Rhinolophus ferrumequinum: one gene and its partner. The protein of the gene in region 2 purifies or fractionates together with the protein of the main gene of each other region. This does not show direct contact. Links are inferred from orthologs where the notes say so. Each region holds a gene or a part of one and is shown on either strand. Other genes may lie near its edges. The genes, in order: CCNB1 and CDC25A.

Region 1 (15,966 bases), on a different chromosome or scaffold from region 2:
GGGTTTTGAATGCCTTCACCTCAGTAATTCATACTAATAAGTAAAAGCTAGGTACATAAAACAAGAACCATATAAGCAACAATAACATATATTAGTTGGGTCCCCAGGTTAAGTGAAAGCACTTTTTAAAATATTCTATATTCCACACCATCTTTAAAACAACTTTTAGGGAATCCTAGAATAGGAAGTAGCCACATTCAAATGAGTTAAGGGATGAGAAGTAAAAAGGACTGCAACTTTATTAAAAGTAAGTAAATGTAACATAATAATATATACAGATAGCACATGGTGCCAATTTTATTTGCACATTATTACAGCACTCCAACTCAAGTTTACAAGTTACACCTTTGCCACAGCCTTGGCTAAATCTTGAACTAATGCAGAATTCAGCTGCGCTAGAGTGCTGATCTTAGCCTGCTTAGATGTGGAGTACTTGTTCTTGATAGTCTGGAAGAGAAAAACAAAGTAATTAAGGAAAAGAGGAAAAAAATAACATCCCGTGATATAGAAAGTCACATGAAACATCAACTCTTTAAAAACAAGCTATGCATTTGTGGCATGAAAGTCTTATTTTCACTTTTCTCTCCAACATCCTAGTGCCACTGATTGACTTACCATGTGCTTTGTAAGCCCACGATTCACCATGACAATATTCTTAGCCAGGTGTTGCATAACAAGAAGAAGGGATTCTTCAGTGTAAGACAGGTAATGCTGTAGAGTTGGCGTCTAAGAACAAGAGTTAATGTTAAAAATGCTCATCAACAATGGTTTTCATAAAGTTTCTAGATGTTATTCAAGAGTAGGGTAGGGAGATGGATACTGTATGATTGATTATTAATTGAAATTTAAGACAAGCTTATTCCCCAGGTGTTCTTTCATGCTTTTCTAGGCTCATGTGCTTAGATGTATTATATACTAATGTGCTCAAACCTATACACTTTTGTAATTACTGACTTGCCCACACCAAAGCTAGACTCCAAATTCCTTGAGGGCCACTTTCTCATTCAGAGGTTTATTCCTAGGGCCTAGGATAGTATATAGCACTTAGAAATATTTGTTGGATCAATGAATATGAATGAACTATTATGTCATCCGATCTGCCTGAAATTCTCTAAGGAGTAGCAGCTACTCTGCCTTTCTCAAAGGGATATAGAAAGATGAAATTAGGTAACGAAATGAAAGCGTTCCATGAAGACATCACAAAGTAGGTATCATTTTTTAATCACTCCCTCAGTGGATGTCATTTTTTGGAACCATTTGAATTGCTTTTAATGAAAACAGTTCTGTGTTCAGGCAAACACTATTTACAATGTAAACGCTTAGGGCAACTTAGGTTTGTGGGGCAGAGCTTACCCATTCACCATTATCAAGAATTTTCATTGCTAAACAAAAAGCTCCTGCTGCAATCTGAGAAGGAGGAAAGTGCACCATATCGTAGTCCAACATAGTTAGTTCCATCAGATATTTGGCCAAAGTATGTTGCTCCACATCAACCTGGAACAAAATTCACACAGGTCACTGAGCTTTTCTGTCTGAAAATTCTGCTTTGGCAATAACCAGCATGCCCATAACTATAACTAAAAATGTTTGTCTAAAAACTCTCAGGTGCAATTGCCCATGGAATGCCTTAATGATACTAATATACAGCCTGATTAGAAATAACTATTTATTTCTTCCCTGTGAAGTTAGGTATATAAGTCAGTTGAATTAGATCTGCTTGGTCAGCAGTATTCTCTATGGTACCATATCAGAGGTTTCTGAAGAAATCGATACCTCTCCAATCTTAGATGCTCTCCGAAGGAAATGCAGAGGTAGAGGGCGACCCAGACTAAAATTTAAAGCTCTTAGAATCTTCATTTCCATCTGTCTGATTTGGAGCTTAGTGTAAGTGTTGTCAGTCACAAAGGCAAAGTCCCCGATTTCTGGAGGGTACATTTCTTCATATTTGCTCGCAATAAACATGCCAGTGACACCAACCAGCTGCAACATCTTCTTGGGCACACAATTATTCTGCAATGGGAATTTCAACTGGTTGAATAAGTAATACATATTTGAAAAAGGAGACACAGAGCTGTGAAGGAAAAGTGAAAAAGACATATTCGCATAGCAAAGTCTCAGTGACACCCTATCCCCCCAAACAGATTTTAGTTGAAAAGGTCTGTATCTTATGACTCAGCTAGGACCCTGGAAGGGAGAATCCTCAATTACTGAATTATGCTCACCTGCATGAACCGATCAATAATGGAAACAGTCATGTACATGGTCTCCTGCAGTAACCTGAATTTCATTTGAACCTGCACTAGCCAATCAATTAGGATGGCTCTCATGTTTCCAGTGACTTCTCGACCCAGTAGGTATTTTGGTCTGACTGCTTGCTCTTCCTGCAAAAGAAATGCTGATTATCATTAGAAGCAAGTTTCCAATGTGACATTTCTGACCAGAAATAATAGTGACACAGAACAGCTCTGGAGCATTTAGAATATCTAATAGTCTTTTTTTTTAAAGATGCAAAGACCATGTTTTTTTTTTTTTTTTTTTTTTATTGGGGAAGGGGAACAGGACTTTATTGGGGAACAGTGTGTACTTCCAGGCCTGTTTTCTAGGTCAAGTTGTTGTCCTTTCAGTCTTAGTTGTGGAGGGCGCAGCTCAGCTCCAGGTCCAGTTGCCATTGCTAGTTGCAGGGGGCACAGCCCACCATCCCTTGCGGGAGTTGAACTGGCAACCTTGTGGTTGAGAGGACGTGCTCCAACCAACTGAGCCATCCGGGAGCTCAGCGGCAGCTCAGCTCAAGGTGCCGTGTTCAATCTTAGTTGCAGGGGGCAGAGCCCACCATCCCTTGAAGGAGTCGAGGAATCGAACTGGCAACCTTGTGGTTGAGAGCCCGTGCTCCAACCAACTGAGCCATCCGGGAGGCAGCTCAGCTCAAGGTGCCGTGTTCAATCTTAGTTGCAGGGGGCAGAGCCCACCATCCCTTGCGGGACTTGAGGAATTGAACTGGCAACCTTGTGCTTGAGAGCCCACTGGCCCATGTGGGAATCGAACCGGCAGCCTTCGGAGTTAGGAGCATGGAGCTCTAACCGCCTGAGCCACCGGGCCGGCCCTCTAATAGTCTTTTAACTCAATTATTCATATGGTCACTACAAACAGCTCTATCACTGAAGAAAGCACAAAAACATTAAGTAGGATAGTGTGACAGGTTTATCATATTGGCAGATCTTATAATCAATTCAGTATCACCGCTACTGATCCAGACCCTGTACCCACTTCTTCCCAAATAAAGAAATCACACTATCATCTCCCATCTTTTCACCTAAGTCTCTATATGCAGACCCAGAGCCTTACGAAGTAAAAAATAGAAGCAGCTCTCAGATCTGCTGGAACCCACGTGCTACCACTCTCCTTCTCCAAGACACCATAGTTAAGGAGGAGAACGAACCACCAAGGACCAGCACATATATCTGCTAAACCTACTCCTCTAAAGTTAGAACACAAACTTTCAAAAGAAGGGAGAAGAAACTCAAAGTAGGAGGTTGGTCCTGGCCAGGAAGTCTTGTAGGACAGTCCTGTAGAAAATGGAGATGCTCCACAGAAACAAGCAGGAGACTGAAGATGTTAATGATACCAAGAGAAGAAAATGCATTATAAAAAACTTTGTGAATCTGGTAACTGTATAGTTTATGTTGTTAGCATACAGAATACTTCCTTGTTTTGTGTTTTTTTGGTGGGGGAGAAATGCCATTAATAGAAAGTTTCAAAAGTGGGATGAAAGAAAACCAAAAAAAAAACTTCAGTTTTTGAGTGTACTCTTTGACACAACAATGTCCTTGCATGCATATCAGCCACATTGACCCCAAATGCCTTATATTGCGGATACTATTATTTTTCAAGCACATTCTTCTTTACCATGTACCTCCTGCCTGTTGTCCTCCTAAAACGCAGAATTTGGGACTTGTCTGCTTCTGTGATGGATATAAATATATCATTCAATCTGTGGACTTTCCTTCAGGAAGAGCCATGGTAGTATCCACTCTCACTGAAATTTCCCTGTTCATAATGGCAAAGATTTCATTGGTTTGTTTACTTACTTTTTATTTTTGGCATTCCACGAAGGAGAATTTGAAAATGGAACCTACTGTTAAGAAATGCTGCTCACATCCTGCTTGAATTATTGTAAATTATTAATGGAAAATTAATAAATTAATAAAATTAATAAATTAATAAAGCTAGATGCAGTTTAGAAAAAAACAGATTCTATTAGTTTGGTGCAAAAGTAATTGCGGTTTTTGCAAATATTTTTAACCTTTTAAACTGCAATTGCTTTTATACCAACCTAATAATACTGACCTCAAGTTGTCTCAGATAAGTATAGATGTCTTTCACATATTCACTGCAAAGGTTGGGATCGGCTCCATCTTCTGCGTCTACATCATTCACTGCAAGAAGTACATCAGAGAAAGCCTGACACAGATACTCTTCGGCAGGGGCACAGCCAGATGTTTCCATTGGGCTTGGAGAGGGAGTATCAACCTTAAAATAAAGAGACCTTCTGAAATAATAGCAAAGAAGAGCATACAATCTGGGAATAAAAGTCAGATCATTGGTACCAACTCAAGATACCATTTGTTGAATAGTCATAATTCATTCCCTGAAAGGAAAAGTATTTTCAGATTTATTCAGTTTCTCTTTAGAAAGTGATTAGTATGAAAATTGAAATGCCAACTTGACTGAGCCAATTTGAAGTCAGCAGAACCTAAACACTAACAGGTAAAACAGAGAAGCAAATAAATTCACATTTTGGACTTTCCTCCAAAGGAAACTGGTAAGTAATAAATCTGTTGATCAGTGTCATGTGAAGTTAATTCAAACAAATGGCAAGTCAGTCTTTGGTTTTCATTTCAAAACATGGACCGATTCTCACTGTTCAGGAGAACACAAGTTCTGTCCTAACTACTCATTATTAACTGACCTCATTAACCATTTCCTTCAAGCTCTAGTTACCCCATTTTTCATTTATTGAGCACTTTCAAGTCAAGCTCTGTCCTAGGCACTGATTTTTTTGATATCCTCAAGGGGCTTTGATTTTAGACGAGAAGTAAATGAGGTAAGGAGATTGATTCTAGGAACAAGGGTTAGGAGAAGTTAGGCAAAGTTTCAGGAGTTGATACTTGAGCTGTTTTGAAGGATGAAAAGGTTATTAGCTAAATGAAGAAAGTGGGAAAGACATTTTTAACTAGTGTGAAAGCAAAGACAAGAATCATTATGGGACTTGCAAGGAAACCTCAGGTAGTTTGGTATGGTCATTTAAAGACTTTGCATTGCACAGGTTTCATGTGCTATGTCCAGAAGGTCAGTACTAAAACAATGGCCTCAAATCTTTTACCCTTAGATATAAGGAGCCAGGCTGAATGACTTTTACAGATTTTCCCAAATGGTTTTATTAAGTTTTAAAAATCAGCTTCATAAGGCAGTTCATTCCAATTTCATCAAACCAGCCTCTTCTAAAGGGCCTGTTTTTCCTTCACAGTAGAAAAATTTACCTGGTATTTAATAGAAAGTTCTTGGTTTCTGAAGCTGTTCATTATCTTACCTGCTCTGAGGTGCTACATTTTCTTTCTGCTTTACACCTTTACATATTACAATGTTACAGGCTTACTAATTATTCAGTGGTCATATTAGTGAGTAAAAAGATTCAAGAGAACAATCTGTGTTTCAGTCAATAAATTCTGGTCAGAGATGACTTGTACCAAAAACAGCAAAATCTTCGATCAAGGCAACTACTACTCAATACCATACACGAGATTAAAAGCATAGGCTCCGAAGCCAGACAAGTCTGGGTTCGAATCCAGTATGTACCACCGATTAGATATGACTCCAGGAAATACGTAATACTTTTCTAAGCCATTATCTAAAAAGCAAGATACCAGCTAAGAAAATACAACATTATATGAGTTAATGCATTTAAAGTACATAGCAGAACACTCTATGTTACTATTATTTATTCAAATGCTATTTCATGCATTCAAGTAAAATGAGGGAAAAGAAACAATCAAGACTCTAAAATAAGTTTACCAAAATAGGCTCAGGCGAAAGTTTTTCTTCTTTAACGGGCTCAGGTTCTGGCTCTTGCGCCGGCTCCAGCACAGGCATGGGCTCGAGTCCCTTTTCCAGAGGTTTTGGTAGTTTTTTAGCAACAACTTTTCCAGCAGCTAAAGTTTTTGCTTCCTGTGGATGAATGGGAGAGAATGGAATGTTGCTCCATCCAAGGTCACAGTTGGATGGTGGACTTTTACAGATAAGTTGGATCAGGATAGTTACCTTTTTCAAAGGCAATTTGGACTGTGGCTGTTCACTGACTTTGTTACCGATGTCTCCAAGCGCCATTCTTGGCCTCAGCCCGGGCTTGGAGGCTGCAGCAGTGGCCACAGGCACGCGCTTTGCGCCTGCCATACTGATCTTCGCCTTATTTTCAGCATTAATTTTCGTGTTCTGAAAGAAGCAAGACCTCTTTGAGAGCTAGCCCAGCCAGGTTGCAGTAAGTCACAGGGGATTAATTAAGATGAGGCAAAAGAGAGGCTCTCGGGAGGGAAGTCGGCTGTAAATGAGTTACGAGGGGAAACCCGGTTCCAGGGTCTACGCTAAGACTGTGAAAAGTCAGTTTCCTCCTAGAACCTCTTCGCTCGCCTACGGTGGGATAGCACGTTTAGTCCCGACCGACACTAAAATACCCTTAATTTACATTTGAAAAGAAAAAAGGCCTCCAACTGCAGACACCTTCTTTCTCTCCAGAAAGGACCTTACGCAGGTGGTGGGAGCCCACAAAAGAGCCCTCCACGTTTTAGGAAAGATTTCCTGTTGACCCTCCATTTCCCCCCAAACAGGCCAACCCAGATCTCTTGGCCACCTACCCCACCATGCCAGGTGCCTACCGACAACCCTATGCTCCCCAAATCTCTGCCCTGGTCCCGCGGGGCTGGATGGCTCCGGCCAGCGAGATAGGGAGAGGATACACAGCGAGAAAGGCTGCGTTTGTTCACTGTCCGCAGCAGCTCACCCTGGTGACCCGGAACGCCATGGCTTCCTCTTCACCAGGCAGCAGCTCAGTGGGGAGAAGAGGAGAATGGGAGCCCCGGACGAGCCGGGGATCTGAAATCAACACAGATCAAAAACCGTTCCACCGCAGCACGCCGGGAGATGCAGGGCTCGGCCTCAGATTTAAACCCCGCACCGCTCCCTCCTTATTGGCCTGTTCGTGGCACTCGCTTCCTTCCTATTGGCGGCTGTCGGTTTCCCCAAGAACGCGTTTCTAGGGCGATCCCGCGGAGACGTACGAGAGGGGTGGGGCCAGAGAGAGGTTGCGGCCACGCCCTCACTTGGTTTGGCTTCGCGCCTGCGCTCTCGGGCATTTGCGGCTGCCACCTGGACCGGCGAGGTGTGGCGAACTGTGCGCTGCCGGATGTAGTCGAGGGGGATGGCCTTGTGCCCTGAGAGAAGTAACGGTGGAGCAGCCGCAGTTGGAGAAGCGTAAGCAGTTGTGGCTCTAGTCCTACTTATTGTTACACACTGTCTTCGTCTGCAGCGGTGTGTAGCTGAAAGGCTTTGATATATAATGTTTTATTTGATCTTTTCCAACAGCACTCTGGAGGAACCGAGGCCCAGAGAAGCTTTAGGTGATTTTCCCAGGATCACAAGTTAGTAACGTGGGGACTAAATGTAGGTAATTTCTTTTTTTTTGATTCATGATGTTTCTACAACCTAATTGATAAGAATATCGTCAGTTTCTTAATCTACCAGATTACTTCAAGTTATTTCCCCAAGCCAATGTTTTTATTTTAATTTTTTATTTGAGAATAATTTCAAACTTAGAAAACTTGCAGACAAAAATGTGATAAGGATTCAACTATCCTTAACATTTTACTCCATTTGCTTCATGATTTACTTTATATATGTATAAACTATGTATAAAATTATTTTTCCTGAAACACTTGAGGGTGTTTATATATATCATAACTTTTATCCTTCAGTTCTGCCGTATTTCCTAAGAAAAAGAATATTCTCTTACCTAACCACATACAGTTAATAACTTCAAAATGTACTTTATTGTTTTATTCAACCTGGTTTATATTCCATTTTGTCAGTTGACCTAATAATATCTTTTATAGCATTTTTTTCTCTGCTAGTACATGATCCAGTCTAGGGTCAGATGTTATATTTAGTTATCGTGTCTTTTTAGCCTCCTTTAATTTAGAGCAGTTCCTACAGCTTTTCTTTATCTTTTATAATATTGATGTTTTTGAAGAATACAGTACCCCCGCCACTTTTTTAAAAATAGAACTTTCTTATTTTTGTACTTGGTATTTTCTTGTGATTTAAATTGAGGTTGTTGCACAGGTGTATATGACTGTCAAAATCTTTATAATCTAACTTACACATTTTTAAGTATCTTCTAAAGTGTTTTTATAGTTTTCTAGTAATTATTTATGTAGGAGCTGCTATGTGCCAGGCACTATATTAAGCACTTTACATAATCATCTCATGCTTTTTTTCTTCTAGTACTCTGCTGTTATCACATATTAAGTTTGCTTTAACATCTATTTCAGTAATGCAGACTAAAATTTTTCAGGTACATATTGGTTCACTTTCTATGGCTACTTACCATTTGAATTTAAAGGCCAAACAGGTCTCCCCTTGCAACCAAGTACAGTACATAAATCTGTCAATATTAATATTCACAGTTATGGAAAGCTTGTTTAAGAAAATAATTGATTTAATAATTTTTTAAAACATTCAATAAATTCATTCATACTCTACGAAAATTGACACAGGTAACATCATGGTCTTAGGGGATCAACTGCAGACACGTGATGTTTGTCCGTCATAAATGAGATTAATTTTGGTCACTTGGTTAAGATGTTGCCTGATTTCTTCATTGTACGTTTACTTTTTTAAAAATTGCAACTAATATGTTGTCTGTGTGGAGATACTTTGAGACCATCAAATTTCTCCCTACGTTTCATATTCCCTCACAGCAGCACTTGGTTAGGAACTGTTGAAACTCTTGTTTCATTGCCATGAGTTGGTAAAAAACAAACTTTGAATGACCCTAGGATGCCAGACCTTTACCAGACTTAATTGACGACCCCTTCCTGACCATTGCCTAATGGAAATTCTTTTAACCCAGTAGTTCTCAATTGGAGGACATTTTATCCTACGGGGCATATTTGGCACTGTCTGGAGGCATTTTTGATTGTTACAACTGGGAGGGTGCTAGTGGCATCTAGTGGGTGAAGATCATAGAAGCTGCCAGACATCATACAATGCACAAGACAGCCCGCACTCCCCAAACACAGTCACAAAGAATTACCCAGCACAAAATGTCAGTAGTTCAATAGTGTGAAGCTTGAGAAATCTTGCCAACTATGTACAACTAATTTTTATTAAGAATGCTACCATGTTTCCCCAAAAATAAGACCAGATCTTATATTAATTTTTGCTCCAAAAGATGCATTAGGGCTTATGTTCAGGGGATATCATACTGAAAAATCATGCTAGGGCTTATTTTCCGGTTAGGTCTTACTTTTGGGGAAACATGGTAGTTATGCTTAATTAGCATAAGTACCATGGATCACCTCCTTTCTTTATAACACTTACAACCTTCTGACTTTTCTCCTCAGTGAACTACTCAGTGTTCTCTCTCCTGGCCAAGTTAATAGTGTCAACAATACACACCAGTCACTGATCTGGGTGCTAGGAATACAACTCTGAATAAAATGGATAAGATCCCTGCTTTCATAAAAGCTTATATTCCAGTAGAAGAGAGATGAAACAAGTAAATAACTAAATAAAGTGAAAAAAATCAGCTAGTACTAAGTGGTAGGCAGAGAATGAAAGGAAAGTGTTGCAAACAGTGTGACTTGGTAGCTACTCTGGAGGTGGTCAGGGACAGTCGAGAAAGTGATGTTTAAGCTGAGGCTTAAATGAAAAAAGCATTCCACATAGAGAAAATAGCCTGTGAAAGCTCAATGATAGGAATGATCTGTACAAATTGCCAGTTATAAAAAGTCATGGGGATGCAAAGTACAGCATAGGGAATGTAGTCAATATTTTGATAACTATGTATGGTATCATATGGGTACTAGACTTATTAAAAAAGACGTCTCCACTCCTTTTCAAGAAACTCTGTCTTCCCAAGCAACTATGTAGTAGGCAGAATAACAACCCCCCAAAGATGTCATTGCCCTAATGCCCAGACTTGTGAAGATGACTGTTACATGGTAAAAGGGACTTGGAAGACCTTGAGATAGGGAATTATCTTGGATTACCTGAGTGGGTCCAGTGTCACCACTTAAAAGAAGAGGAAGGCAGAAGAGGTGGTCAGAGAAAGATGCAACAGTGGAAGAAGGGGCAGGAGAGAGATGAGCAGGGGAAGCACATGACCCACTGTTGGCTTTGAAGATAGAGGGAGTCACAAGCCAAGGAATGCAAGTGGCCACTAGAAGCTGAGAAGACTAGCAAAGAAACTGAGACCTCAGTCCTACAAAGTCCTACAAACACTGAATTCAACCAACTTGAATGAGCAAGGAAATGGATTCTCCCCTAGAGCCTCCAGAAAAAAATGCAGCCCTGCAGCAACTTTGATTATAGCCCAGTGAGACCCATACTGGACTTCTGTAGAACTGTAAGAGAAGTTTGTATTCAACCACTAAGTTTGGGTTATTTGTTATGACAGCAATAGAAAATTAATACAAACCACTTTCTGTGCTCTATCACTATAGATTAGTCTTCTCTGTTCTTGGACTTCGTATACATGGAAACATACAGCATGTATCTGCCATGTTTCACTGAACTTGTTTTTGAGATTCACCTGTATTGTTTGTAACTAATTTTTTTAAACTGCTGAGTAGTTTAGTGAAATTCCATTATGAATACACCACAATTTATCGATTCTCCTGATGGATATTTGGGTTATTTCTGGTTTTTGGCTATCATGAATACATACATTCTTCTACAGGTCTTTTTGTGGACACACTTTTCCATTACCTTTGGGAGTGGAACTGCTGGGTCACAGGGTGGATATATGTTTAACTTTAAAAGAAATTGCCAAACAGTTCTCCAAAATGGCTGCATCATTTCACACTCCCACTAGCACTATGTTGAGTTTCAGTTACTCCGTATCATCACCACTTCACTGCACTGAGCACTTAAGATCTTCGTATTTTATTGTATGTTATGTATACCTCAATAAAAATATCACAAAAGAGGGTAAGTCTACACGCTGAGTTTCCCATTTTTACCGTGTGGACATCTCTACTGTAAAGATGGTCAATGTGCCTAAAACCCGAAGGACTTTCTGTAAGAAGTGTGGAAAGCATCAGCCTCACAAAGAGACCCAGTATAAGAAGGCGAAGGATTCCCTGTATGCCCAGGGAAAGAGGCGCTATGATCGGAAGCAGAGTGGCTATGGTGGGCAGACAAAGCCGATTTTCCGGAAGAAGGCTAAAACCACAAAGATTGTGCTGAGGCTTGAATGTGTTGAGCCTCACTGCAGATCCAAGAGGATGCTGGCCATTAAGAGATGCAAGCATTTTGAACTGGGAGGATATAAGAGAAAGGGCCAAGTGATCCAGTTCTAAGCTTTGGGTTTCTTATTTTTGAGAAAAAATGTTGAAGCTTTAGAAAAATACCTGTATGAAAATAAATGCAGTGATATTCTTACTCGTAAAAAAAAAAAAAAAAGTAACAGGACAATGTATGTGCACAACATATAACCATCTTTGACCATCTGTGTCAAACTGCTGTAGATAGAAGAAACAAGATGTAGAAAAAATTTGATTAAAAAAAATCCAACTTTACCCTTTTAGTTTTATTATACATTATTTACTAGAACACTTTCCTTTTGAAAAACCACTCTAAAATTGAAATAAACATTAGTGGTTTTATAATTGAACTCAGTTTGGCATCTATATATAATCTCTGCATAATTAACTTGCATACAAATTAAGGCCATAAGAAATGTTTGCCTTAAAATTTCTATTTGGGAGGCTAAACTGTGACAATCTATGAAGTGCAATTTAGCAATATTTTTTTAGATTTATAAATGTCCTAAACCCTTTGCTTCCAAAATTCTACTTGTCGGAATGTATTCTACATATTTATTTGCACATATGCAAAATGATGTTTGTACAAGGCTATTCGTGTCAGCATTGTCCATATAGCAAAAGATTTGAGCCAACCTAAAAAAATCCATCAGTAGAATTAGTATACAGCTAAGAAAAAGAATGAGGATGCTTTATAATGTTTCAACTATGGAATAATTTCTAAGTAAAAAATAATACATACATGTATTTGCTTGTATATTCATAAACTCTGGAATCTTGAAGAGTATACTGGAAACTGACAAGTGTGGTAATTTTTAGAGATCTGTGTATGATTGACAGGTTGGAGGGTTTTTGTCATTTACTCTTTTAAATTTTTTTTTTTAAACTTTTATATATTTTAAGTGTGTTTTTCCAGGACCCATCAGCTCCAAGTCAAGTAGTTGTTTCAATCTAGTTGTGCAGGGTGCAGCTCACCAGTGGTCCATGTGGGGATCGACCTGGCAACCTTGTTAAAAGCACCACGCTCTAACCAACTGAGCTAGCTGGCTGCCCCTAAATTTTTGACCATGTAACTATTAACTAGTAAACATGCATCTCTGAATTAATATTTTAGGGGAGAATCATAATCTAAATTTAAAGTAAAACCAGAATCCTTTATAGTTAGAGATATCTAATTATATATAGCTTTATTTTTGTGCTGAAATTAGAAAAGTTTAAAGTTTGATCAATTATCATGTAAAAGGAACAATATACCTATATTATAAAATATGTAAAGCTTATTCTAAGGGGAAATCATGAGCTCCTAAATTGGTAATAATGGAAAACAATGGTTGGAGAGAAAGGGAAGGAGAGAAACTAACAGGTGTGTTAAGCAACCACCACCACGCTTCTTGGGTCAAACTAGAAATAGGCTTGTTTTGGGTATTATTTTAAGTTTACTTATTCACTTAATATCTAATTAATCTCTTAGGTACTGATTTCAATAGAAAAAACCTCCGAAGTCAGGTTTAAAATAATAACAATTCTTTAACTTTATTTAACCCTTTTCAATTTTCATTTTCACATACATTATTCTTTTTGCTCCTCATAACTCTGTGAATTTGAGCATATTTTATTCTGACTTTATGTATGAAGAAAAAAAAGGATACCCAGAGAGGCTGATTTGCCTAAAGTCATGGTTTGTATGAGCTAGAACTAGTACCTTGGTGCTCTTCAATACTGGAGTTTCCCTACTTTCCACCTGCACCCCTTTAATGTTCAGCCCCTGCCTTTGCTCTCATCTTGGTTTCTCAGTCACATTAATTTTCCTGCTGTTTATATGCCTTCTAAGAGAAATGACAATTTTAATGATGGTGCAGTATTTATTGTGCCTACCAACTTAAAAATTTTTTCATGTATAAAAATTGCATTGAAAAATCAATATGCAATTATTTTCCCACCACTCAAAAATTTTAATGTGTATAGAAGATTCTGGACCAGATAGTGTGTAAAGAGAAGACAAGAAATATCAAAATAACTTATAATAAATTTCTAAACCTGTCACATAGTAAAATTAGTAAGACAAAAATATGATTTACAATACACATTTGCCATTATGGTATAGATAAAAAAATAGTACCCATACTAAAATTAATTCATCCTATTTATCAAAATTTCTAGTATAAGGATGAAAATATTCAGATTCTCGTAGAGATAAGTTTCTTTTGGACAACATTCTTTGGTTTTATAAAACTGCATATATTATCATATAACTATCATACAGTCTTTTGAGACAATACATTCAGTTTAAATTGGAAATTAAAAAATATAAATTAGATATTACTATAGAAAGTAGTTATAAGGTTAAGTATTTTGATTTCATGGTGCCCAAGTGTTTATGGATAAGCTTTACTTACTAAACCTCAAAATAACTACCTTTGAGATTTCTTATATATTTAGATGTTCCAGAAATTTAAAAAAAAATTACATTTATAGGCAGAAAATTCAATTAATTATTTGTGATTCTCTCAACTGGCTGTTCCACAACATACGGAGCTAAATGAAAAGATGAAAAGCCTAGCATTGCTTGGATACCAGCCTGATAGGCAACTAGGAATGCCAGATGCGTAATAAGAAATGGAATATTCTACTTTAGAGGCAGAAGACAAGTGAATGCATAACATGGACACAACTTAGTATAAGTTCTGTACCCTAATAAAGTAATTATTCATTTGCAAATATTATCAAAAGTAAAAAATTTATTTTACAGAGTGGTTGGTTTTTGTAATACATCAAAAATTGTAATGTTATACTTCCCTATTCTCATTGCTCATCTCATATCAGTGGTTGAAGTTGTTCCCAAATAATTTAGTTTACATTTCAAGTGGCAGTATAGATTTTACTTAATGGATTTAAGTTATAATTAGAAACCAGTTTTATATACAGAAAATCCATAAATATAGAACTTTTATTCCTATTTTATCCTAAGGCTATGCAAAAAATTGACTAAAAATTTTTCATTTGGGTCTTTGTAATAAACACGTAAATACATTATTTACAATGGAGATGCTTTCTGACAGAAAGTAAACACAGAAGTAATTTTGGTCTTCAGTCAATTCCATCATTATGTTCATTATCAAAGGTGATGTGACACATCATGTTCATTAAAATTTTACGATTCTTGTTATACACATAATGCAAATAATTATTTTACTTGAACAATTAATGCTTCATTCTGTATTTAAATTTCCTTTAAGAAAGATTCTTTGATCCAACAGTAGGAAGCTTTACACTTTTTTTCAAATATGGCAAATGTTTCTATACAATTATGTGCAATTTTCTTCCTTCGGTCAATATTATACATACTGAGTCATTTTAATCTTCATTGTTCACACACCAGGGGGAATTCCCGAGTTATCTCACATGATGTAAGTACCATCTCTGTAGTATTTCATGGACTCCATTTGTTTTGTCATAGCCAGGACATCATTAAATCCAGTACTCAGGCCAGACATATGTTGAAAGTATGCCTCTTTTTCGACTTGAATTGTTAAATTGTTTACTCCAGCATCTTTAAGTATTCCTGTAACCTGTTATAAAAATCCATATATTTTAAAGCATTTAGATTATGCATTTAATGCACATGTCTTAAATAATTGGTAACACATTTTTATAGCTAGAGAATCAAAGATAAATCCTCAAAATAATGTTTATTATTTATTTGGCAAATGTTAGATAGGATATTTTTAGAAGACCGGTAAATTCTGATCTCACATTCAAAGTATTAAAGGAAAATAGCTATTGTTTCCAATTATGTATATCTAGACGAGGGATACAGGAACTGTTTTGATCCTTATCTCCAACCATAGCATACCCCCTGCCAACTTTAGTATTATTAATTTAGGGCTACATTTATAATAACATTTCTCGATACTCTATTGTGAATGAAGGTGGATCATAAATGAATTTTTTTTACATTAACTTAAGCTTATCCTCTAAATACTAAAACTTGATTTTTATTTTAACCACTTCTGGATATAAAACAAATCTAGATGTAAAAAATAAGTTATATATCCTTAGCTGAAAGACTGATATTTTCAAGCAGTTAAATTACTATTGAGCTGTATAACTTTTATAATGTGTGTAATTTTATGCATGAATTACCTCAACTGAAATTACTGTAAAAACAAAAGATTATTACCTGCTGTACTATTCTTTGTTCCAGCACATCAGATGTCACCTGTATATGAATTGTTCCTGCCACAATACTGGCAGAATGACGCCAAAAATGAGGGTCTCGATATGATATTAATCCTTCAATTTTCTGTATCTGTCAAATAAAAGGAGAGGTGATATAAATGGACTTAAAGGCTATAATTTACTTAACACACGC
Region 2 (16,710 bases):
TTAAACCACTCATAAATCTACCCTCTAGAGATAAACACTACTAATATGTGCATTGCTGATACTGTATTTCTTTTCCACATGCTTTTTCAAAGCCAGGTAAAAAGTTCCGAGGTAGATTTTTCTTTTCTCCCACAGTAACAAGGGGTCCCCACGTGAGTCGTACAAACATCCTTCAGATCCAAATCCCCTTGGGGCATGAGTGCATTACTCCTCAAGTGGCCCTTTGGTTTTGCGGGCGGGTCGCTCACCTAGGAATCCTGTCTGCAGCTGGCCTACTCTGGTTCAGAGACTAACTCTCATCACAAGGTACAAGTTCCGGGCTGTTCCTGATCCTCCCCAAGTGCACCTGGGCACGCCCTGGGCACACTGGCAGCTTTGCAGCCAGCAGAACCCAGGGGTAGGTGACTCTATTGCGGGGCGACACCCTCTGAATACTCACGCCATGTGAGAACATCAGTTTTTGTGACCTAGGGCCTCAGATCCCCAGGTGCAGATGTGCTATAGAAAATGACGGACAAATCTCTGGGCGGGACCTAATTCTTTCTCCAAGATTCCTACACCAAGAAGCCATTATGAGGAAAGATAGATGGCACTTGGAGACTAAAAGCAAAGATACAAAACACCCTCTGACATGATCAAAAGCCAAACTGGTAAGATTAACACTCGCTTTCTTTCAGTTTGTACCCTCAGTAGCTACAGTTAGGGATGGCCAAGAGATCACAGGAAACACTGGCTTCAAGCACACGTACACTAAACATACTTAGTTTGGCGACCCAGCTGTCAATGGGTTACTGTGTACTTGGGAATCAGGAGGTTGTTAAATACTGGTCTTCTGTGTATCTGTGTCCTTTGGCAACACTTTCCCAATCTGTAAAATGGGGGAGTGCCAGCTACTTCACAGGCTTATGAAGATTAAAGACAAGAAAACAGAAAAGTGCTCTGTGCAAGCGCTAGACAGCAATACTGGAGGAACCCACACCTCAGACTACCAGTCAGTCTGGAAAGTTGTATTTTCAGATGCAAGTTCCCAGGAAAACCTGGACACCAGGTGGTCATTTTGCTCAAGTTGGGCCTCTCTAGTCTATAGCTGTCAGATCACCAGTAGGAAACTCTGAAAGTAGTGACAGTCTTTGTCTGGCAAATAAATAACCCTGGGGCAAGTGGACCCAAATGCTTTCAAGCAGCCTACCGGCACTAGGTTCACTGAAATCCACAACGGTTCTTAATAAATCACCTTTGGAAAAAGCCAAGCGCTCTCTGCTCTCTTCCCATTCTGGGAAGTACCTCTTAGCACTTAGGATGCATTGTGAAAGAGCAAGTTTTAAGTAAGACATATAATCGCACCATACACACAGAAGAATGACCCAGAATGCCTGCAGATTATTTCCCCAGAATCAACCGGGTCAAATAAGCCTTGCTCAAGTCCAATATTATTTCAAACATACCACCTCTCACTCTGCTTCTACCTCTCTGTTCTCCAGATGCAGCAAAACACCAAAAATGTGACCATCTAGTTTCGAAAGACAAAGTCAAGGTAACGACAGCGAGAGCTACTAGAGTGTCTTCAACTCCAGGTTAAAGAGGGTGCTTTAAGTCTCTTCCCACCAGGAACTTCCCTATGAAAGCCGGAGCACATACCATCCGCGCTGGGGCAGAGTTCTGCCTCTGTGTGAAGAGATCTTTACTCTCCTCAACTCCATGAGAGTGCAGGCAGCCACGAGACGCAGGTCTGATTGGCTTCTTAAACTCAAAGGCTTCCTGCAAGACAGTAGAGTCGAAACATCTTCCGCTGTCCATGGAAACCAGCGCTGGGGCCTCAGCTATAGCTTAGACGAGACAGACAAGGGAGCGGGCACTGAGCACCTTCGTCACTGCCTCCAAACTAAGGGTTTACCAACTTCTGATCTAACTCCAACACTGGATCTGTGTAACGAAGAATGTCAATGACTCTGTCAACAGCTAACGTCTAATACGGCACTTTTTCTCTCACCACGCTTTATTTCCTAACAAACACGTGAGTATCTGCCAAGTACACAAAACACTGAGTTATAAGCTGAATCAACAACTTTCTAAAACCTAAAGCAAAGTCCTTTCAATGACTGTGAATGGGAGCTAGAACTTTTCACTCTAGATTTGTTTGAGGACTTTATATTTTCTACCTTCTTCCTTCCAATAGATAATTTTTTTCCACTTAAAATTATTGTATTCCATACTAAAAGCAATAGGGAACAAAAAACTACTGGTTTACAACATGTACGAATCTCACATAACGCTGAGTGAAAGAAGTGAGGAGTGATAGAATACACACCGTATGATCCCATTTACTTAAAGTTTAAAAGCACTCATAATCCCCCTACCCTAAAATATCCACTTAAGAACTCGTTACTAAATGCTCAGAAAGCTTGTATATGTCAACACAGGACAGCACTTTCTGTGTATTGGCTCATTAACCATCAACTACAGCCTGATCAACCCCACTTTACAGAAGACAAAATTAGTCCTTACAGGTTAAGTAATTTCCCTAAGATCTGGCTTCACGGCCAGACAGGACGACTCCAGAGTGAAAGCTCGTTAACCTCTGCCGTTTCCCCTCCAGAACAAAGCTCCAAGCAGACAAGCCAAGTTTGGAGGGGTGGGGGGGTGGGAGTGGGGCTGGATCAGGCATGGGTACAGGTTTGGACTATTTGGTAGAAAGCGCTACACAGAGGCTGATGCAGCCTTCCAAGCACTCAAGGCAGGCACTCATTTCTATATCCTTCCTCAGGACACTGCACAAGTTGCTAGAGGAATCCTTGGGAGAGTTCGTGGAGGCAGCAGGTTTTATACTAAGTCTGGAAGATTGTAAGGATTGTGAACTATAGCATTTTATCAGGGAATGGAAAAGGGGAGAGAACAGATATGGAAATATAGTGAGAAAGAAGACTGGAAAAGTTGAGCTAATTCATTTAACTATCTTGATGCCTACTCTGTGCAAGGCACCCTGCCAGGTGTGAGAGAAAAGCCAGGCCAAGGCATTCTTGGACTTTTGGGTGGACAACCACAAGCTCCCGCTCTAAGCTACCATTTCAGTTACTTTGAAATTCCCTAAGACTTGTTAGCTCTGTTCTTTCAAATACTGTCAAGCAGCCTTTCCTAACTTACAACTCACCCCGGGTCAATGTAACAAGGCAAGGAGGGCCGGCCCGGTGGCTCAGGTGGTTGGAGCACCATGCTCCTAACGCCAGGTGGCCGTGCTCCTAACTTTGAAGTTGCGGGTTCGATTCCCACCTGAGCCAGGGAGCTGCGCCCTCTACAGCTAAGATTGTGAACAACAGCTCTCCCTGGAGCTGGGCTGCCGTGAGCTGCTGGAGGTTGGCATGGGCTGCGGTGGGCCGCCAGGAGTGGCAGACAGCATGAGCAGCCGTGGGCTGCTGTGTGCTGCCAAGAGCGGCCAGCAGCCAGCGAGAGCTGCTGTGAGGAGCGGACCGACGACGGGGGTGGGGGGGAGCACAAGGCTCCTAACACCAGCATGGGCCAGGAAGTTGTGTCCTACACAACTAGACTGAGAAACAACGGCTTGAACCGGAGTGTGTGTGTGTGGGGGGCGGGGGGGAGAAGAAGCGGGGAGAAAAAAAGGAAAGGAAGACCTGGGCAGAACCTTCCAGATAAACTGTTCATGGATATAATTACTCCTAAGAGCTACCACCTGTGCAACTCCTACCTGTCAGGAACCATTTGAAATGCTTTATCTGCGTTATCTCATTTAATTCCCACAACAGTTCTACAAAGTAGGGTTACTCCTATTTCATAAAGAAACAAAGAAACCTGAAAAAAGAACTCGCCAAGATCACACATCTAGAAAGCAGCAGGATTCAAATCCAAGTTTCTCTGACTCCAACGTTGATGAAAGTTTAGTCTCCCAGAAAGCAGCTCAGACACTTCTCTGTAAGCCAATGGCACTTGTGGGTTTTACCTCTGCCCTAGGTTAGTACAAACATGTTACACTCACGTTTTCCTTGTTCTCATCCTGGTCCATCAACTGAAAGACATCATGGTCAAGAGAATCAGAATGGCTCCTCTTCAGAGCTGGGCTACACCCCAAGAGCTTTTGCTATCAAAGTGAAAAAGGAATTAGGGTACATAAATAAAAATCCAATGGCAACTCAGTTCTCAAAAGCAAAAAAAAAAAAAAAAGAAAAAAAATGGCGGTTATAGGAAGGCCTAGCTCCTCACATACCACAGTACATGTGGCCAGGCCTCTACCTTGTCAGAACACAGGATATAAGTTCCCACTAGATGGGAATTTAACCCTGCAAGGTTGCCAACCCCCACATAACATCATTTGCATAAAAGAACCCCTCCTACTTTGATAAAACTCTGATAATTAGAGATGATGGGGAAAGCCCACAAGAGACAATTATTGAAGCTTTAGGAGTATTTGAGTGCTTATGAGTAAGGAAAAGCATTGTCTACATTAAGGTTTACCATCAAAGTCATGCTGGTATCTAATCGGCAAACAATAGGTATTACTTCAAATTAAACAAGGGAAATAACTTACAGGTAGGGAATTTATTCTCCTCATAGGATTTTCAAGGCTGCAATGAAATCAAAAGGTAAATGATGACAATAAAGCAAAGAGGTAGTCATATCAGAAGATGCAGTGTCTAACCTACAGTCTGGAGGGTAGTCAAACATTCCCATTTTAGGCAAGATGGAAGAACAGATTTCTGATGCTCTCCTGTTCTCACAAGCGCACCTAACACTGGGCTTCAAGGTGAAAAAAAACAAACCCAGGTCTTCTCTTAAAATATGCACATTCTCTTAAGGCTGTTAGAGTGGGGCCAGGGCTTGGTGAGACTCAAACAGAACTTCAAATTACAGCTGTAATAAAGGAAGGGAAGTTCTGAAAACTGCTGACACACACTACTGATTCTCGAAAGATACCAGACTGTTTATAGGATCCAGTTTTACTTGGGACAGCTAAATCCAGAGCGCCAGTCCAGAGCACAACAAATTGCATTCAAAAAATTAAAAAAGTTTTTTTCAAGCATATTTAAAAGCAGTGAGTACATACTTTTCTTTACTGTCCAAGGGCCCAGGAGAATCCAGACAGAAACCTGTGGGAAATAAAAATGTCTCTCAGGAAGTCCTACATGAAACACTACTTTGCTATTTAAATAAATAAAATTCCTAGCACTGTTTCTCTGAGCCGGTCAACAAAAACTCAAGGCTTGGACGGTTTGCCAGCATTGAAACTGAGTCTCTACTTGATCGTCAAAAACTTCATATTTGCACAAGTCTTAATATTTCATGTATAGCTACCAATCCCCCTTTCCTACTTGCCAATACCATCAAGGAAAACAGGATTTGAAGAGAGTAATTAATCCGAACCTTCTCAGGATTGTTTGGGTATTCAGGTAGAGGTTACCCAGTAACTTTCTTTGAGTTCCAACCATGGAAAGAAAATTCTGGTAGGGCCAGTTTTCTGAAATAGTTTTGATTTCAAATAGTTTATCTTGTCAGATCATATGCATAACTTGGGGATGTAGGAAATACAATTATGTCATGACAAGCAAGGCAAGTATTTGTTGCCTTCAACAAAATAACACCAAGTGAGGTGCCCATCTCCCGAAAGGTAGCAGGTGGAGGAGACACTGCTCAGCGCCACCCAGACTCACCAGAGCCAGACGAGCGCACACCTTTCCTCCCTGATGTCTAGATAGCCTGACGAGGAAGTTAGCTGTTAACTCCTGACTAATGTTCTCCCTTGCCACAATGCCACATAAAGTTCCTAGGTGAAAGCACATTTCCTCCAATGCCAAGGACTGCTCCCCACCCAGCAGACACACGATAAATGTGGAGGATTTAAAACAATACCTGAATCGGTTGACTCAGAGGAGCCCATTCTCTGCAAACTGTTGTTTCTCACCTCCAGTGGCTGTTCATACTCACTAAAACCAAAAGAAACAATTCTCTCTGGATTTCTAGGATATAACTAAAAGGTTACATACAGGACACAGGCCATGAGGTTAGCAAGTGGCCAGGCTACCATCAACTATCATTACTTCTAGACCACACCACACAACACTTTGCCACCCAGAACACCCAGGTAGCTAGCACTTAAGCATAAAAGATGAGAAAGGAGTGGGTGGGTAGGCCTGGCCTGGGTCACATTGTAGGGTAGGATGACTATGATGAATGTTGGTGTATTTCCTAAAATGAGAGCATGTGCTCTAGGTACTGTGCTGGGAGAAGGGATGAAAAATAGGACAAGTTCCTGCTTCTAAGAGGTTGCAAAACCCACACATGTGCTCACTTAGGATATGAGATGTCCAAGATTGAAGAGAAAGCAGCTTCACCACAAACACTGTGGGATTTCTTTTTTTTTTTCTATAAAGAGAAGTCCAGAGAGCTTTTGAGTACGGAAAGTTGAGTAAAAAGGCCTGGCTTTAGGAATGCATGGGGTGGACATCAGGAAGGTGCAGGGAGGTCGAGGGATTGCGATGATTTTGCACAAAGCCCAGGATAGAAAATGCCACGTCCCTTTGTTGAGAAGGAACAAAGCTCACAGGAAACTAAGATCCGGGCGAAGTAATTCAGCAAAGGGGGAAGTGAGAGCCTAGGAGGGCCTGCTTTTCCCGCGTGGGGGTAGATTTCAAAGAGCTTCCTGGGACAGCGACAGAAGAAGAGTACAGGGCGATCCGAAAGGGGTGGCTAAGGTGGGGAGCTGGGGCCGCCCCCATACCCTAGCAGGCCTGGCTCGGGACTGAGGATGGCCCTGGAGGGTCCGAACGGCCTCTCCCGCCCAACATTCCGCCTGGGGGGAGGGTGCACATGGTGAGCCCCCGCCAGACGGGGCCGTCCCCAAGTGGCGAAGAGGTCTGGCCCTTCTCCAGGCCTGATCACCCCAAGAACGGTCTGGGAGGTCAGCGGTCTGCGGCACCGCTCATCTGTCCCTCCTCACCTGCCCAGCCCCTGCAGCTGATCCATGGTGACCGTCAGGTTGGTGACAGGCGACAGGCCTCCGGCGGCTGTAGCGCCAAACAGCGCTTTCACGACGGGCTGTGGCGTGGGAGGGGGGCTGCAGGCGAAGAGCAGGCGGCGGCGGTGCGGGGGCTCCGGGCCCAGTTCCATGGCTGCGCCAGGCCTCCCAGGGCTCCCGCTCTCTCTTTCTCCGCCTCCGCCGCGCCCGCCCCGCCCCGCCGGCACTGGCCTCGGCCGCGCGCCCCGCCGCCGACGTCCGCGGGTCAAACACAAACACGACCCCGCGGTTCAGGGACGCGGCTGCCGCGGGCAAGCTGCGCGGACGGGCGGGTGTCCGGACCCGGCAGGCGCCAGCCACATACACGGGTGCTTCCCTCTCACCCCGCGAGGCCAGCGGGCAGGCGGGCGACCGCAACCTGAAGATTAAATCCAAACAAACGCGGCAGGTCGGGAAGGGAGAGCCGAGAGGCAACGGCCCGGGCTCACACTCTCTTCGCTTCTCTCTCACTCCCTTGCCCAACCCAGGATCTCAAAGAACCAAGCCGACTTTCACCTCCCGGCTGAGCTGTCTCTGCCAGGAGAAGGCCTTTCGCGGTAATAGCTGCTCACTGGAGACCGCCGCTGCCCCGCCCCCCTTTCCTAGTTGGCGCCAAACGGAATCCACCAATCAATAAGAAACTTCTCCTCCTTGCTCCCGAATGGCAGCTAGGCTGGACCAATAAGAGTGGGAAGGAGGAAGCAGCTCGTGGGACTCTGCGAAGTCATCCGCTTTCCGAAAGGGGCGGGGACTAAGGGAGACCCGAGCTGATCCGAGGGAGATGGGGCTCAGAGGTCAATGAAAACTCCCAGGAGGACCTGCGAGACGCGGGTCGAGACCCAAAGGCCGCTCTTACCGGTTGCATGCTGGGAAGCGTAGTTCCCACCCCGCGCGGCAAGCCATTCACCTACCCTCGTTGGGCTACGGCTGCATCGCACCCCCACCCCCACCCCGCCTGGCCCCCCCCACACGCTGAGAGAATGTGGAGGCTGGAGAAGGCTGTCGGGCCACAGGGAGGCCAGGCCGAGCCCAGCCTTGGCTCGACCTATAACCTTGCAGTGTTGTGGGCCTCTCTCTTCCGCCCTGGGCGTCCACGCCCCAATTTTATAACGAGGAAGGGAACTGAATGACCCGAGTACTGGGCGCTGCCCCGCCCCCAACGCCAGGTCCCAATTCCAAAGCGCTAACGCTCATGTCAAGCCGGCCATTGAAGACCCTAAGGGCTGTGCTGGCCTCGAACTGCTGACCGCACAAGACTTGAAGTCTACGGGCCTGGGCTGTGGGGCTCAGCATTCTTTGCTCAACTGCATTTTAGCTCTTACTATATTTTCTGAGAATCATTTCCTTCTCTCCCACCCTTTTCTTAACCGAGGAGCTCCTAGATAGCAATACCATGTATTTAATAATAGCGAAGACTTATATAGTGCTTATATGCCAGACACTGTTCCAAGTGCTTTATTCATTTATTCCTTAAAACTACTATGAAAGAGGAATTATCCCCATTTTGTAAGTGACCATAATTACTTTTCTATCTCCTGTACCAGTGACGGCTCCTACAATGACTGATTTTATAAGAGGTGTATAGGTACAGCAATCAGGCTGCAAGAGGACTTGTCTTCAGACAGCATGTTTAGAGAAAAAAACTAGATTGTGTATTTACTTTAGGTGTCTGGTGATTATGACCACTACCTCTGTTTAGGGGCTACCATTAAATTCATTAAATTTAACGTTTCTTTCAAAAGCTTTTGCTTTCAAAGGTTTGTATTATACAAATAATGCAAAATAATTATAGCCTTAGAAAGCATATATATATATACATATATACACATATGTATATATATACATTTAGAGATAAGTATAATTTTAAAAATCATCTGTAATTCTACCATCTTCAAAGAAAAAACTGTCAACATTTTGAACTTTTTATATGTGTATGCATTGTAAATATGCAATCAATATTTGTGTCATGGTTAAAGGAATGGAAAGTCCTCCCTTCTTGCCTGAGCAGACATTCCCTGAGTGGGATGACCCAAGGGGATTAACATACCAAAGCATTTCCACCAGTAGGTCCAAATATTGGAATACAAACTTGGTGTCAGAAATGTCAGAGAACCATTGTTTGTTTGTTTTTTCCTTTTTAAAGGTTGAAATGTTGAGTGTGATTTTTTATTATGTTTGGGGCCATCTTCAATTGTGAAATGGCGTGAAAGGAAAAGCATAACTTAACTAAACCCTTTTCCCGATTCACTTAGGCAAACTCTCACTAAGGGAAGGGAAGAGTCTTGCACTGTGAATTGGAAGGTCTGAGTTCTAATTGCTTCCGCCTTGGGGCAAGTCAATTTTTGCCCATTCATTCATTCATTCATTCTCCACTGCGAGCCAACCAGTTTGCTAGATCCAAACAGTCAATACTTCTTTGGAGAATGCCGGGCCATCCTCCTCACCCCGATACCCACTTCACTCAGCTAACAAGGAAAGTTCTACCCTCAGACACCCTAACTGATACATTCTCCTGTTATTATCCACCTTTCAGGCACCCCATGTTTACTTTTGTTTCTGTGATTATTTAATCGGGGTGAGTCAGCCCGAATGACTATGAACTCAAAAGGATAAGGACCCTGCCTTTCCTTTTCTCTAGTATCACCCAGTGCCTGGTTAGGAGACCCCTCAGTACAAATAGATTGAATACGTGCTGCAGAGAAAAAGTGGAAATTCTTTGAGAGTGTTTAGGAAGGGAATCTGATAAGGAATCCCTGAGGAAGTGACCAGTAGGGAAGTCCTAAGGATGTGGAAGAGAGTGCCCTGGGCATAGGGATTTGCCCTAAACAAAGCCTCTGAGGCTGGAAGGAGTCCCGTGTGTGGCAGAGAACAAGCAGTAGAGGAGGTTGGGGAGACCCAGAATCTGCGGGACTTTGGAGACGGCATTCTGGAACTTGAACTTTATCTCAAGGACAATGGGAAACAATGGCAAGGTTTACATTTACATATTTAAAAGATAACCCTGGCTCCAGAGCGGAAAGTTGATTAGAGAGTGACAAGGGTGGCACTGGCATGCCAGTTTGAAAGGGATCCTACAAGATCCTACTATGAGATGGTGGCCAGTTGAAGATGACGCAGAGGAGAAAAGCAGGCGTCTCTTTCCACTTGTGAGTGGTGACAGAGGTGGACTGCAGCTGTGTTTTTCAGTGAGGTACCCCAGCAGAGCTCCTGGCTGTTCCCTGCCACTCCCTGATAACCATAAAAACTTGGCTTTTAAGTCTACATTATGTATTGGAGTGCCCTGTATATTTTGTTTGAAGAAGGGATTCCCCTTGTTAAAAACAAAAGCAAAAAAACCCCAAAAAACCCAAACTTTCCCATTAATTTATAAGACTGATTTATTTTCTGTAGAAAAAGAAACATCTCTTTTTTTATTTAATGTTTTACATGTGCCCATTTTCCTTTCAAAACAATGGCTGACAGGCTGAAGATTAAAACCTTTGGCTCAGAACACTAATTCCTTCACAGTGAGGCAGGAACACTGCTTCACCTCCGTTTTCCCCCACAAGCACTCAAGCTCCAGCCGTGACCACCCCGCCCCTCCAGAAGCCTCAGGCTGTTTAATCCTCTCAGTTGTCACAGTTCCCACGGTCTGCGGAGCCTACCCTCACTGTGTGCACTATTTGAAATACTTTCCTCCATTAAACCTCTGAAAAATTTCTCTCCTATCTCCTTCTGTTTTGTGAACTTTAGTATTTGGCTCCATATCACTGTTCTTGCATTCATTCATTCAGCAAATGTTTATTCATTGTGCACTGAGACAAACCCAGTGCTTGAAATAAAAGCCCACAATTCCTACCCCGAAGGCTCACATCTGCCAAATACTATCTCACAGAACATTCCTTATAATAATGGAACCATCACTGTGATAATTGCTGTGATAATTTGTGGAGGGTTGGTGGAACCTGGAGGAGGGGAAGGGGGTGGAGATGGGAAAGGCTGGAGGGGTGGGAGAGGGGCGACTTCCCAAGGGAGATTAAAGCTGCTGAAGCTTGAAGGCTTAGGTTGCGGGGAAAAGAGGAATTTGAGGCGAGTGAGGTGGGGCGCTTTCTTCCAAAAGAGCCCTCAGAAGTCAGATAGCGAGCAGAGCATGTTCTGGGAATGACTTCTCAGTCCCAGGAATGGGCACATGCAGCGGTTGTGAGGGACCCAACTGGAAAGGAGGGATAACTCTTGAAGGACTTAGAGGCTACTGAGGGGTTCAGCCTCATCCTGTGGAGGGTGAGGAGGGTGGGTGATACAGGATCAGAATTGCCGCAGGGTGGATCAATGAGGGTGAGTGGGGAAGCCTGAGGAACAAGGAGGGGGCTAGCCAAAGAGTCCTGGGTGAGAAAACTTGAGCTGAGATGGAGGGCCTCAGCAACAGAGAAAGGGAGGGAGCTCGGGAGTCAGAAAGGAGGAGGAGCTCAGTGGAGTTTGATGATTGAGAGTTGCAGGGGGGAAGGGGAGGGAGCAGTCAGAAGGGTTCCTATGACTTAAGCATCTGGGTTGGCAGTACCATTATTTCAACAACAGGCAGCATAGTTCTTGGAGGAATTTGATGAACTCAGTTTTGTGTTTGTGTACTGTCTGGGATTGGCAAAAAGATCTGGGCTTCGTTAGCCTGAGGATGGTCATGTCCACTGAGGATATGCAAAGAGTGTTTTAGGAGACTGCATCTGGGGAGCACCTGAAGCCTGGATGTAGCAAGAGGGGCCCATGAAGGTGGTGCTGGGGAAAGAACCAAAGGGAGGGAGTAGCCAATCCATGATCCAGAAGTGCACGGAAGGTGGCCAAATGGAAGTCCTGTGGGTGGGAAAGGTGGGAGGTGAGGAAGTAGCCATAGGAAAGCTTGGCACAGAAGGTACAGTACCGTTCCGATTCATGCACGAACCAAAAAGCACGTAGATGAACGTCCATAGCCACATTATTCATTTTAGCCCCAAGCAGAGAACAGCTCAAATGCCAATCAACAATAGAATGGGTAAATAGAGGTTCTTTAGGAAAGAACTACCCACACTCCTCACAATCGATGAGGAACATAAGCCCAAAACAGAAGAGGACATGCTATTTAATTCCATTGACATAAAGTTTTAAAAAATAGGAAGTCCTGCTTTTTTATCCTTGGAGATAGAAATTAGGGTACTGGTTATCTTTGGGGTGGGTGGTGACTGGAAGAGGACCTGAGGAAGACTTTTGGGAACTTGCCACATTTTTTCTTGATCTGGGTACTGGTTATGTGAATGTGTTCACTCTGGAAATTCACTGAGCTACACACTCATGATTTGCTTGCTTTTCTGTATGAATGGTATACTTCAATGACATGTTTGTTAATAGTAAAAATTTCCCTTGACCCCACTTGACCCTCCAGCTGTACTCCTTCCCTTCACAGTAAACAAAAGAGTTGTCTCTAATGTCTCTCCTCCCATTTTTCTCTTGAACCCACTGCAATCAGACATTCAACCTCCCTACTCCACAGAAATGGCCTTTGGCAAGTTCTCCAGGGACCTTCATTTCGCTGAATCCAGTGTCCAAATCGCTCACCTTGTCTTCCTCTGCTCAGCAGCCACCCATGACAGCACTGGATACAGTTGATCACTCCCTTCTAGAAACATTTGCTTCACAGAGCTTTCAGGACACCATTCTCCAGATTTCCCCCCTCTCTCCAGTTGCTCCTTAAAAAAGATGCTATAGAGAGGTTATGATCGAGGAAATTATTTGGCCCCCCAAGGGTGGCAACCAGGCATAGGGGTAAAGAACCTCCTTGGACCTCTTGGATAAGCTCTTCTGGGGCATCACGACCTGTTGCCCAGCAGCAGCATAGAGCCTGGTTCTTAGTGATAAAGAAAAATGTTTGTGGAGTGAATGAAGACGAAGAATTTGAATGTTATCCTGAAGTCAGAGGCTTACAAGGGCCTCTGAGAACCCATCTTTCCTCCTCCTCTTCCTCATGGAAGATGGACTGGATTTATGGTTTTGGGGTGGTGAGGCAGGTCCCGAGGGTCCCTTTTCTCTCCTGAAAAGACTGAGGATTTTTCGGCTACTTTTCCCCTTGGTGGGCATTGGCGCAGCACCAGAGGTGGCCGCCAGAGGGCACTTGTCTCCCAGGAGAATATTCTAGAAAGAACCGAGGCGAGTTGGGAGGAAAGACAGCTGTAATAAGAGGGACTTGGACCGGAAGCTAAGCACATGTGAAAAACTGAATGCGTGGCAATTGTTGGGGATCTATTTCCAAGGCCTTTTGCAGCGTGCAACGTGCTCAGGGCCAGGAACCCCAACCCTTTGTTTTTAGCCTCTGCCGGTCCTTTATCTTACGTGTCAGCTTCTTGACCACTATGGGTCTGTTTTACCCCTCAGGAAAATGGGAGGAATGACCCCTGATCAGTCTACCACCTAGAGGTGTTAGCAAGAGAGAACAAACCACGTAGTGTAAATACTTTTTGGGAGTTGAAATAACTGTACTGAAGAAATGCAAAGGATTGCTGATCCTCGCTGTCCCCCACCCTCGTCCTATGCTAATGTGACACTGTTGAGTGTGTGACACTGCAGTCATGTACACCACTGCAAGTGAGTTCCCAGCACTGGGCATTCTGGGAGAGGTGATTCCCCAGCAGTAGAGGTGATGAAGCCCGAGTTAGGTCAGAGACAGCAGAGGGCAGAGAAAGCCACAGGCAATAGAGAGCCTCAGTAGGTTCTGGAGCAGGGGGGACGGAGGGCTTCATCTCAAAGGGTCAAGTTTACTTATGAGGTTTCCTGGGGTCCTCCTCTGGAAGTCAGAGGTCCTAGGGAGCAGCTGAGCTCTTTTTAACAGCTTACACCTGAGTGCTGTGGCCCCCACAGAATGTACTAGGAGAAGAGGAAACACAGTGTTGGAGGCTGGAGACCAGCAAGCTGGACTTGTGGTATCATTGCCCTGTCCCAGTATTTCTCAATCCTGGGCCTCTGGGAGGTGAAATTGTTCCTGGGGTTGCCTCCCATCCTGGTTGAGTTAGAGCCTCTTGCACCATCCTGCTGTTAGCTGGTTGACAAATGCCCACGTTAGGCAAGGTGGTGTGTTGGGGGGGATGGCGGGTGGGGAGAAGGGGTCGTGGTTTTCCGGACTTGTTCCTTTCCAGCCCTGAGCAATAGCTGCCCTAGAGGGAGTTGGGTGGGAGTGGACCCATTCCAATCCTTTGAGCCTAAAATCCAGGCTCCAAGGCATGCCCCAGGCCTTCTGGGATGTCTATGTGTTCTGTGAAAAGAGAGGTAAATCCCAGAAGTAACCACTTAGTCTGATGCAGCCCCCACCTTCGTTTTATAGATGAGGAAACGGAAACAGAGAGGGGAAAGGCTTACCCCTGACCCAAGCTGGGTCTTAGCACAGCCTGGACCTCTCTTCTCTGGGCACACTCAGAGGGCCCCCCAGTGGGCTAGGAGGGAGCAGCCGCAGGGCTCCTTTTCCTCACCTTTATGCCCAAGGCCCAGTTCATGTAAGCTTGGGCTCTGCTGTCACAGAGTGTTGGGGAGAAGGAACAATGCTCCTTCTTGGAAAGATAGGCCCACATATTGCCAGCACTTACCCCCTCACTCTGCAACCTTGAAAACTGAGGTATAAGTTATCTACCATAAAATTCACAATTTTCAGTGTAATGACATGAATTGTGACAAATGTATACAATTGTGTACCCACCACCACAATCAAGATGTAGAACATTTTCATCGCCCCAAAACATTCCCTCATGCCCCTTTGTGGTCAATCTCATCTTCCTAACATTGGCCACTGGCAGCCACTGGTCTACTTCCTCTCACTATAGGTTTGCCTTTTCTGGAAATTTCACATAAACAGAACCATACAATACGTGATCTTTTGCATCTGGCCTCTTTCACCTAGCATCATGGTTATGAGGTTCATTCAAGATGTGTACTCGTATGTTGGCAGTTCGTTCCTTTTTACTAGTGAGAAGCCTTCCAGTAACTTGTGTGGATGTCCCACAATTTGAGGAGCCTGCTGATCGACGTTTGAGTTGTTCCTGGTTTTTGACTATTATGAATAAAGTTGCTATGCACATTCTCGTACAAGTTTTTTGTGTGAAGCTTTCCTTTCTTGACGATAAGCACTTAGGAATGGAATTTCTGGGTTATATGATAAATGTCAGAGCTTACTCTTTTCAAAATGATTCCTTGTTGTCCTTCTGCCATTATCTCTTGGATGGGGGAGGAGGGAAGGACTGGTGGGGATGAAAGGGTGAGCTGAGGCCAGGAGAGCCTGAGGATAACCGGGGCCTCAGCCTTACATGTCTGTCTCCTAGTAGCTTGGTGTCTTAGGCAAGTTGCTTTGTCTGCTCTGGGCCAGCCTCAGTTTACTGATCTGTGAAATGGCAATAGCACCACAATCCTCCCTGCCTATCCCAGAGGATGTTCTCTGGATCAAAGGAGATGGGCAAGAGCCATTTTTGGGAGCTGCACTCTGAGGGGTGGAGCAGAACTCCGGTGGGACTTGTGATACAGAGCATGGCCTTGGGAGAAAGGCCTCCCTCTGAGAGCGCCATTCTCTCTCAAGTCGATGTGGACATGGCAACAGCCCACTTCTGCCAATCTTGAGAGTTTCCTTTTGGCCCTGAGCTGTGTGGGGAAAGGCTAACTTGTTTTGGGTTGTCAAAGGCCATCCATTTGCCTAAACACTTGAAATATGAAGCTATAAAGGAGGAGGAAATTTTTGCAAGGAGGCCATGGAAGAAAGAGTCTCCACCACTGTCCTGCACATATGTGGCTACTTAAGTTTAAAGTGATGAAAATTAAATTAAATGAAGAAAGCAGTTCCTCAGTTATACTAGCCTCATTTCAAGTGCTCAGTAGCCATGTGTGGTTAGTGGTTACCATATTGGACAGCACAGATATAGAACATTTCCTTCATCACAGAAAGTTCTATTGGACAGCCTGATTGAGACCCCGAACCCTTCCCTCTGGGAGGGTCAGTATTGTTAGACTATCTCTGGTGGACTGAGGCAGGCCCCACAGAGGTCCGCTGGCTTACAGAAAAGGATCCCAGCAGCTCCAGTGGACTGAGCTCCTGGTGAGAGAGCTGGCTGCACAGGGAGCCTGCTGTTGGATGGTGGGGCTGGCCCCTGAGATGGACAGCCAGATGGTGAGGGCCCTGCAAAGGTAGAGGGGTGGGGTCCAGCCCTGGCTGTCAGAGGGGCTGTGGAGGGAGGTGAGGCTTTGAAGTACAGAACATAATGGGGAAGAACATTCTGGCTCAATCAGACTAGTAAGGGAAACAGAGTGAAATTGGGAAAGGTGGGAGCCCCAGGTTGTGAAGGAGGTGGTGGCAAGACTCTTGTGCCAGCCTTTGCAGGACCGTCTGCTCCCATCTCTTGAGCTTGTCTACCCTCTTTGTTGGGTTAGATGTGGGCGTAGGGAAAGTGCCCAGGGTCCAGCCTGAGTGTCTCCTGCCCATTCCTGACCTGGCTTCTCTTTTGCTCTCCCTTTTGCCTCCCCCTCTTTCTTTCTCTTTCCACACAAAAACCCAGCAGGCCAGTCCAAGTGGACCAGTTCTACAGCTTGCTCTCCTGTTCTCCTATTGAGCTTCTCAGTTATGCTTGAGGCAATTTGAGTTGGATTCGTACTCTCCTGATGCTAAGAGCGGTTACCAGAGCAGAAGTTTTCAAAGGAAGCCACAGCTAGTGAGAGGCAAACCAGTGATTCAAATACAT

The links.
Region 1: the proteins of CDC25A (region 2) and CCNB1 purify together in Homo sapiens (affinity purification with mass spectrometry; 3 studies listed by BioGRID, with this or other methods). This does not show direct contact. The link is inferred for Rhinolophus ferrumequinum from reciprocal best matches to the Homo sapiens genes CDC25A and CCNB1.

The regions. Positions count from the first base shown.
Region 1 is NC_046290.1:44,712,247-44,728,212, reverse strand, and holds CCNB1 (G2/mitotic-specific cyclin-B1), read right to left. Parts: upstream 7,217-15,966; 5' UTR 7,073-7,216; coding exon 7,052-7,072; intron 6,487-7,051; coding exon 6,316-6,486; intron 6,223-6,315; coding exon 6,070-6,222; intron 4,528-6,069; coding exon 4,345-4,527; intron 2,382-4,344; coding exon 2,223-2,381; intron 2,011-2,222; coding exon 1,774-2,010; intron 1,495-1,773; coding exon 1,354-1,494; intron 727-1,353; coding exon 616-726; intron 448-615; coding exon 340-447; 3' UTR 207-339; downstream 1-206. Other genes in the region: 60S ribosomal protein L36a-like, read left to right, coding at 11,316-11,630; proton-coupled zinc antiporter SLC30A5, read right to left, coding at 14,993-15,163, 15,775-15,903. UniProt on the Homo sapiens protein: Essential for the control of the cell cycle at the G2/M (mitosis) transition.
Region 2 is NC_046300.1:7,784,164-7,800,873, reverse strand, and holds the start of CDC25A (M-phase inducer phosphatase 1), read right to left. Parts: upstream 7,830-16,710; 5' UTR 7,114-7,829; coding exon 6,944-7,113; intron 5,931-6,943; coding exon 5,857-5,930; intron 5,097-5,856; coding exon 5,054-5,096; intron 4,575-5,053; coding exon 4,538-4,574; intron 4,091-4,537; coding exon 3,989-4,090; intron 1,759-3,988; coding exon 1,639-1,758; intron 1-1,638. UniProt on the Homo sapiens protein: Tyrosine protein phosphatase which functions as a dosage-dependent inducer of mitotic progression. Directly dephosphorylates CDK1 and stimulates its kinase activity. Also dephosphorylates CDK2 in complex with cyclin-E, in vitro.